2 linked regions of the Rattus norvegicus genome follow. The protein of the gene in region 2 purifies or fractionates together with the protein of the main gene of each other region. This does not show direct contact. Links are inferred from orthologs where the notes say so. Each region holds a gene or a part of one and is shown on either strand. Other genes may lie near its edges. The genes, in order: Ppfibp1 and S100a4.

Region 1 (3,812 bases), on a different chromosome or scaffold from region 2:
ATGCTGAGCTCTCTTTGTTTTTACCGTCTGCCTTTGAATTCCTTCTCCTTGGGGACTGTGTACTGACCAAGGTGACATTTCTCTCCCAAAGATCAGTGGACTCTCCCTCTAGGAGTGTGGATTCTTTTACCACTCACCAGTCCTACCATGAAGCACAACAGGCAAACCAAGTAACCCCAGCTTTACCACCTGCCTTCCCTTCCTGTCTTGTCTCCTTCCCTCTTCTCCACCCAGCTTGGGGTTGAACCTAGGCTCTTAATCATATTAACCCAGAGCTCTGCCATCGAACTGTACACCCCAGCCTGCCCTTTCTCTTTAAATTTTATTAGTTAATTAATTAATATTTTGAGTCATGCTCTTATTAAGTTGCCGAGTCAGGCCTGAAGCTTGTGATTCTCATGCCTCAGCCACCGAGTAGCTGCAGTTGCAGGCAGGCCCCATGCCACAAAGGCCCAGCAAAGACCACTGTCCTTTCCTAATCTTAGACTGAATAGTCTTGCAAAGTTTGGCTCATCCCTGAGAGGAATTCTCTTATATGAAGTCCTGTCTAATCCAAGCAAAGGATTTTGACATGTCCCGCCTGTGGCATAACAGCGAGGTTAACCTTTTGAGAGTTACGCCAAGACCGTTTATGATATTCAGGCACGTTGCTACTGTGTCTGGGGTGCTTCTGGCTTTCTCGTGATAATTTCATCATTGAAGTTGCTACCCCTGTGTGGTGAGGTGAATTAATTTACAGGTATAATTAGTCCTCTGCTGTAGGGATTTTATCCTACCTCTGGGTGTCTTTTTGTTTTTTGTTTTTTGTTTTTTTTGTTTTTTTTGGTTCTTTTTTTGGAGCTGGGGACTGAACCCAGGGCCTTGCGCTTCCTAGGCCAGCGCTCTAACCACTGAGCTAAATCCCCAACCCCTTGTTTTCTTTTAAAGCCAAAGAAACTGACCTTTAGCAACTTTGGGAATCTGAGGAAGAAGAAACATGAAGATGGGGAGGAGTATGTCTGTCCAATGGAGCTAGGCCAGGCGTCGGGTAGCTCCCAGAAGGGGTTTAGACCTGGCTTGGACATGCGCCTGTATGAAGAGGATGATTTGGACCGGTTAGAGCAGGTAAGGCGCCCGCAGTCATGCAGACACTGCTTGGAAGCCTTGCACACTGTCACTGAGGAAGGGTGCTGTCTTCCCACGACTGAAAATAAAAATGGCCAAGTATCCTGAATAGCTGCAGATTCCCGTCCGCTTCTCAGCAGGCACATCCCCAGCACCTGACTACTTTCTTGCATATGTTCTCTGTTTAGACTGTCATTTAGTGATCTGTACTTTTGGAATTGTACAAATGAGCTTGTCACATTGTGGTCTGTTCTTGGTAGATGGAAGATTCAGAAGGGACGGTGAGACAGATAGGTGCGTTTTCTGAAGGCATCAACAATCTCACGGTAAGTGTTACAGTGAGTGCGTGTGGTGAGTGCGTGTGGTGAGTGTGTACGGTGAGTGCGTACGGTGAGTGTGTGTGGTGAGTGTGTACTGTGAGTGTGTATGGCAAGTTGCAAATGTTATTCTAAACACCTACTCGTGTGTTGGAAGCATGTGGTGCTGAGCTCAGAACTCCGTGTAACTCGATGTCCCTTGTTTTTCAGCACATGTTAAAGGAAGATGACATGTTTAAGGATTTTGCTGCCCGCTCCCCAAGTGCCAGCATCACAGATGAAGACTCCAACGTTTGAGCAGAGCACCTGGGCAAATGCCAGGAGCACACGTGTCATTTTCCAGCTTTGTTTCTCGGATAGTGTATACAGCAGGTGACAGGTTGTGCATTGCTTATTGTTCGGACTTCTGCTCGCTCAGAAGGAGAGCTATAGCACGGGAATGGTGCCAGTTCTGAGCATGTTGAGGAAAAAGAGAGGCTGGTGAGCGAAAGTGCGCTTGCTCTGCCTCTGTTTAATGCGAAGTCTGCGACGTGTGCTGTTGGAAGTGTTGCACGCACGGTTGCGTGTACCAGAGCGCCTCGCTCACATCTCCAGGAGGGAGGCCTGGCCACATCAGTGTTCACTGCAGCCGGCTGTGCTGAACGTGCTGCCCCCAGAGCCAAGTGCCACCATGTGCCAGCAGCACCGCCACTTGCCTCTCACTGTCTTATTTTTATATATTTTTCTAAATACGTGTATATATGCAGTCTACAGAAAACAGAACCTTTATTTTGTGACACAAGGATCAAAAGATCATATTAAAACAAAGAAACCCCCGTGTTCCCTATGATCACATACCAGCTGATTCTTGCGGGTACCACAGTCCCATTTTATCTCCACTGATGAATTTTAACCGTGTTAACCACTCAGGCTAAATTCTACATGATGTATACTTCTTGGTTCCCACCAAAATTGTCGAGCAGCTTAGAACTTGAACTTTAATCCCGACTCCATTTTCTTCATAATGAAGTATTTTAGGGTTGTTACCACATCAGCTTGAAGCCTTCGGATACACTCATGTCCCCATCAGAAAAGTTTTCTGTTAGAATGGCTTCAGAAAAACAAGAAACCAAACAGAACCTTTCCATGTTAACTTCCTTATTTCTTTTTCTTTGCTAAACTCATCATTATGTTGAACTAAGGGGTCCACCTAGCCATGTCCACTGTACCTGATACTCAGCCTGTCAGCTCACAGGGCTTCAGATTATTTCAGTCAAATCCCAGTATTTTAAAGCTGCATTAGAACATTTTCTGATGGTCCTGACCAGTAGCACGTCGCTCGTGTTTTCTGTAACACAAGGCCCAAGGGCTTTTTGTAAAGAAAATAGAAAGTTACAGCAGCTGCTCTGTGGCGTGTGGATGCAAGTGTTTCTAGTGGTGTTGGAGACAATCCTCTTTTTATTCAGGGCTGCTCAAAACGAGACCTCCTGTGTTCCAGACAGGAGCTTACACACCAGGGGACAGGGGGACAGTTCGGTTTGTGGTGATGGCCATTTCCAAATGTCAGCAGTATTCCTTTTCATGTTTGCCGGTTATAAAGCTGTTCATTGTGAACTTTGTAACTCTGCTGTCCACTTCTAATTAAATTATCAGATGCTAACCGTGGTTTCCTTTGAATGCTCCCATTCATGAAATCAAGACAATATTGGCTTCTTCCTGTATTGGGGTTTTAGTTTAAACATGAATAAATGTCACCCTTTGGAGAGCTCAGTTTGTTACCAGAGCCTGGTTGGAAATACCAGCAGACTGTTACAGATGCCAAGCAGTTTTTATTAAGGACAACGTAACAACTGATGATATGTGATAAAGTTAAAAAACTTCTTATTATATATTTTATTTACAAAAGTATTATGCAAAGTTCGCATTACCTTATGAGAAGAAATAAAGTCAATTGATAGTTGCCTTGTGTTTTTGTCTTTTAATGTTTCCTTGTTCAGAAAGACAAAGTCTTCGTTTCTGGTGGAAACAGTAAAGGATTCTTGCTTGTAAACTTGCACATTTGACTGAGTTTGTTTGAATCAGACAAATTGAGATCTCTGCTTAAGAAGTATGTATAAAAGGAAATGCCAGCAACCCACCTGGGGAAGGAAGGGTCAGAACAGGAAAAGAAAAGGAAAGAGAAGAGACACGAGCTTGGAGATATTGGTTGGAGAGTATAGGATTCTAATCCATACATTCACATACTGGTTTTATTCTTGGAAACAGGAGCCACAGCCAGGAAAGAGTTTACCAAGGATCAAGTGTAGGCTGTACACAACCTGGAGTAGAACAGGTGTTTTGTGTGAAATTGTCATCTGTCACTTGGCAGGCATCAGGAATCTGAGCACAACACACCCAGTTGACAAACAGGGG
Region 2 (4,316 bases):
TTATCCCTGAGTTGGTCCTACTCTCTCAGTGTTACCCCTTTCGATCTAGGCTTGTCAGTCCCTGAGATGCTAACCCCAGCTACCCACAAGCTTTAGAGGCTTGTCTAGCTGGTGAGGGGTGGAATAGTCTTTGCTGCTTCTCTTCTTGGAAGGGAAGAACATCTCTGCTCTTACCTGGAAGCTCAGGCATGTGCACACAGTTGGGACTGCTGTGGCAGGGGCCTCCTCAACTCCCAATAAAGAAATGTCATCTTGGCTTACTTTGGTTTTTCTGGTGGGACACACTGGGTCTTGGGACTGAGTCCTTGTTCCTTTATGCTCCTTACCACTGGAGAAAGAAGGCTTACCACTGAAGATGGACCCCCAAAGCATCAGACCCAGTAGAGATGTGCAAATCTTACTGTTCAATAGGAGGGTGGGGGCAACACAAGGTCTCATTGGATGAGACTGGAGGGTCTCTGTCTCCACCTCTCTGTCCCCTGTCTTGAACTAGAAGTCCTTATCTTGGGCTTTCTAGGAGAACAAGGGGCTCCTTGGGAGGTACTCAATACAAGGAGGATGCGGTTGTGGGACCCAGCATCAGACCCAGTAGAGATGCTCAAATCTTAGTGTCCAATAGGAGGGTGGGGGCAACATAAGGTCTCATTGGATGAGACTGGAGGGTCTCTGTCTCCATCTCTCTGTCCCCTGTCTTGAACCAGAAGTCCTTATCTTGGGCTTTCTAGGAGAACAAGGGGCTCCTTGGGAGGTACTCAATACAAGGAGGATGCGGTTGTGGGAGCCCAGAGTCAAACCCCCTCTAACCTTCACTTAACCCCTGAGTTTGTACCATATCCTTAGAGATTAATCCTGACTCCCTATTCACCTCTTTCTTCTCTAACTCTCTTCTCCAAGCTGAGCATTCAATCCCGAATGCTTCTGTCATCCCCAATACCCTTACTCAAGCTTCCATCCATGCATAAACCTCTAGGCCACACTACCACCTAACTCCATTATGATATTTCCCACTTAATACCTGGGGTGGTCCCAAGGTCCCTCCTGATTTGCTAGCCTCCACCCTGGATCTTCCTGATGTGACAAGAAGCTGTGTAGGCTGGAGAGAAGGGCTGACATTGTCCCACTGGCTGGGTCACCTCCTTAATTCCTCAGCCAGATAATTCCAGGGCAGTTTCCCATCTCTTGTCTATAACACCAGCATCTCCTTTTCTGTGCCCCACACCTCATGTACAGGTTGTCCCTTCTCAAAGCTTCCTAAGATTCTAGCTGAACTGCGGCTACTTGGTGGTATCCACCCCATCCAAGTCTCTGCCCTGCCCACTGGAGCGCACTCACTACTTGATTGTGCCTGCTAGGGAGCAGGAAGCCTAGCTCTTGGCTGGGCTGGTGGCTGGGCTGTGACACTTACCCGCATCGACCAACAGCAAGAGCAGTATCCATGTTCCCCCATCCCCTGCATGGGCAGGGCATGGCAGGGTATAAATAGGTCAGATTGTTGGGCTCTCCCCAAACCTCTCTGTTCAGCACTTCCTCTCTCTTGGTCTGGTGAGTCGTGTTGGCCTGATAGCACTGTTAGCAGTTTAGAGGCTGAGGCTAGGACAGGAGAAAGGGGGCGTACTGGGGGGAGGGCAGAAGTCTTTAACGGATCCAGATGAGAGATTCTGGTACGGAGGTGTGTGTGTGTGTGTGTGTGTGTGTGTGTGTGTGTGTGTGTGTGTGTGTTGCACAAGAATGAAAACTGAAAAACAAGCAGTATATAAATGGCTCCCGGAGATTCTGAGATGCTGAGGCTTGCTTGTATGTTGCTATAGTGTATGTTGGTGCTTGGGAGCCACTGTCATGGATAGGTATGTTGCTGGGTCATCCAAGCCAGTGTGTGGACACTCAGGTACAGGAAGCAAAGTGAAGGCATCAGCAGGCATTTTTGTTTTACGATGTTTAAATTACACTTATTTTATTTGTGTGTACGAGTGTATGGGTGGGGATGGGGCAAATGCCAAGGGGCACTTCTTGTGAGAGTCAATCTGTTCCTTCTAGCATGTGGGCTCTGGAGATCAAACTCAGGTCATTGAGCTTGGTGGCAAGCACCTCTACCTACTGAGCCACCTGTTCAACACCCACCTGTAGGCATTTGTGTTCATAGTAGTTCATAGCCCTATGAACATATAGCACCTAGGCCAAGAGAGCCTGGCTTCCCCACCCCCTCCCCTTGTACCCCAACCTCTGCCACTTCATCTCACTCCTACTAGGCAGCTGGGTTTTTTCCCTCACTGTAGGCCCCTGGGCAGGCAGCCAGCAGCCGCGCCCAACGCTGGGAGGGAGAAGAATGGGTCAGAGGCTGGAGCTTGTGGTTGAGTTGGGGAGTGAGTAAGCTGAGTGAGGGATGGAAAACTGCTGTTGTTGAGGCCAGGCCTGGGGGGGAGGCACAGAAGGCTGCTGGCATGAATTTCTAGAGTTTGAGTGGTAAGTTTTGCAAGTTTCAGAGCTTGAAGCACATATGAGCTTCTTGCCATCAGTGGGTACCACTCCTCTGATCTCCCTGGGAGTGAGGTCGGTCTCTGGAAGTGCTCTTAGAGAGTAGGTTGGAGTAGAGCACTAAAAACGGGGACAGACTGAGTGTGACTTGAGTGATGCCTAGCAACATATATCCAGCTCTCAACACACTGTTGGTGTGGGTTGGAGAAGGCTACTTTTGTGTCTCCTGCCCCTAGGTCTCAACGGTCACCATGGCGAGACCCTTGGAGGAGGCCCTGGATGTAATAGTGTCCACCTTCCACAAATACTCAGGCAACGAGGGTGACAAGTTCAAGCTGAACAAGACAGAGCTCAAGGAGCTACTGACCAGGGAGCTGCCTAGCTTCCTGGGGGTGAGTGGATCCTGTCTGTGTATTGCATATGTGATGCATCCCCAGGAGGAGGCTGGGGCTGGAGATATCTATCTATCTATCTATCTATCTATCTATCTATCTATCTATCTATCTATATCTATATCATCTATCTATATCTATCTATCTATCTACATATATATATATATATATATATATATATATATATATATATATATATATCTCTCCCTACTCCTGGCGCTTGGTATGGAACCACAATGAACCATCTACTTCACACCAGCCCCCCGTTGAGACAAGGCTTAGAATGAAGTTAACTGAAGTGGCACAGGAAAACCACATTAGGTAGTCAGTGTCTGAAAGCACAGCCTAGATCAGGACAGTCTTTCCGGTGATGTGCAACAGAAATCGAGTTTCTGCTTGTGAAGACATGATTGTGGAGGCACACAAATGCCTGCAGATCTTCCCCTCAATGACACCTTATCTTAGTTAACACCTCCTTGTCATGACAGTTACCTATAGACATAGTTAAAACAAGCGTGGGGAAGATGTGGTCACATCCTTTCCCAGCTAGCCCATGTGCTCATCTCACAGTTGAGCCCTGAGGCTAGCACGGTGTCTGCAAGCCTTCCTGAGCTCCTGGCTGGAGGTGGCGTCTAACTGTACCTCTTCTACCTCCAGAGAAGGACAGACGAAGCTGCATTCCAGAAGCTGATGAACAACTTGGACAGCAACAGGGACAATGAAGTTGACTTCCAGGAGTACTGTGTCTTCCTGTCCTGCATTGCCATGATGTGCAATGAATTCTTTGAGGGCTGCCCAGATAAGGAGCCCCGGAAGAAGTGAAGACTCCTCAGATGAAGTGTTGGGCCAGTGGGGGAATCTTCCATGTTGGCTGTGAGCATAGTGCCTTACTCTGGCTTCTTCATACATGTGCACAGTGCTGAGCAAGTTTAATAAAGAGTTTTGAAACTATGTCTGAGAGACTGGAGATTGTGGGTGGGTGGGTGGGGCTGAGGGAGGGTGGTGGCAGAGATGGCTGGAAGTTGACCTGGAGCTTTGTGGGGGCCAAACTAGAAAAGGTTGGGGAGGGGTGAGTGACTTATTCTGAGTTCATTACAAGTGTATATTTGTGTGTATGCGTGCATGTGTGTGTGTGTTTGTGTGTGTTCACGTGCTCCTGTACATGCAACAAAGCAAACTCTGGGAACACTAAAGGCAGAAACCACCAGAGGCTTGCCTTGAAAGGCTCCAGATGTGGGATGTTATCCAGCCCACGGTTCTCCCTCCTCTCTCTAGTACTGCCTCTGGGCTCAAACTGAAGTTGGGATGGAATTAAAGGTCACATCTGCTGCTGGTTGGGGTCTGGAGGGAAGACAACAGGCCTGCCTGAGTCATGAGGCAGGAGTCTTGAAGCCAGAGAAGGGTGGGGAGGTGGACTGGCATTCAGCCCTAACATTTATAGTCCAGATCCTG

Evidence for each region.
Region 1: the proteins of S100a4 (region 2) and Ppfibp1 purify together in Homo sapiens (co-immunoprecipitation; 3 studies listed by BioGRID and IntAct, with this or other methods). This does not show direct contact. The link is inferred for Rattus norvegicus from reciprocal best matches to the Homo sapiens genes S100A4 and PPFIBP1.

What each region holds. Positions count from the first base shown.
Region 1 is NC_086022.1:181,678,720-181,682,531, forward strand, and holds the end of Ppfibp1 (liprin-beta-1), read left to right. Parts: intron 1-927; coding exon 928-1,104; intron 1,105-1,364; coding exon 1,365-1,430; intron 1,431-1,631; coding exon 1,632-1,718; 3' UTR 1,719-3,360; downstream 3,361-3,812. UniProt on the Homo sapiens protein: May regulate the disassembly of focal adhesions. Did not bind receptor-like tyrosine phosphatases type 2A.
Region 2 is NC_086020.1:178,387,024-178,391,339, forward strand, and holds S100a4 (protein S100-A4), read left to right. Parts: upstream 1-1,505; 5' UTR 1,506-1,542; intron 1,543-2,338; exon of another isoform or gene 2,339-2,460; intron 2,461-2,708; 5' UTR 2,709-2,723; coding exon 2,724-2,864; intron 2,865-3,521; coding exon 3,522-3,686; 3' UTR 3,687-3,814; downstream 3,815-4,316. UniProt on the Homo sapiens protein: Calcium-binding protein that plays a role in various cellular processes including motility, angiogenesis, cell differentiation, apoptosis, and autophagy.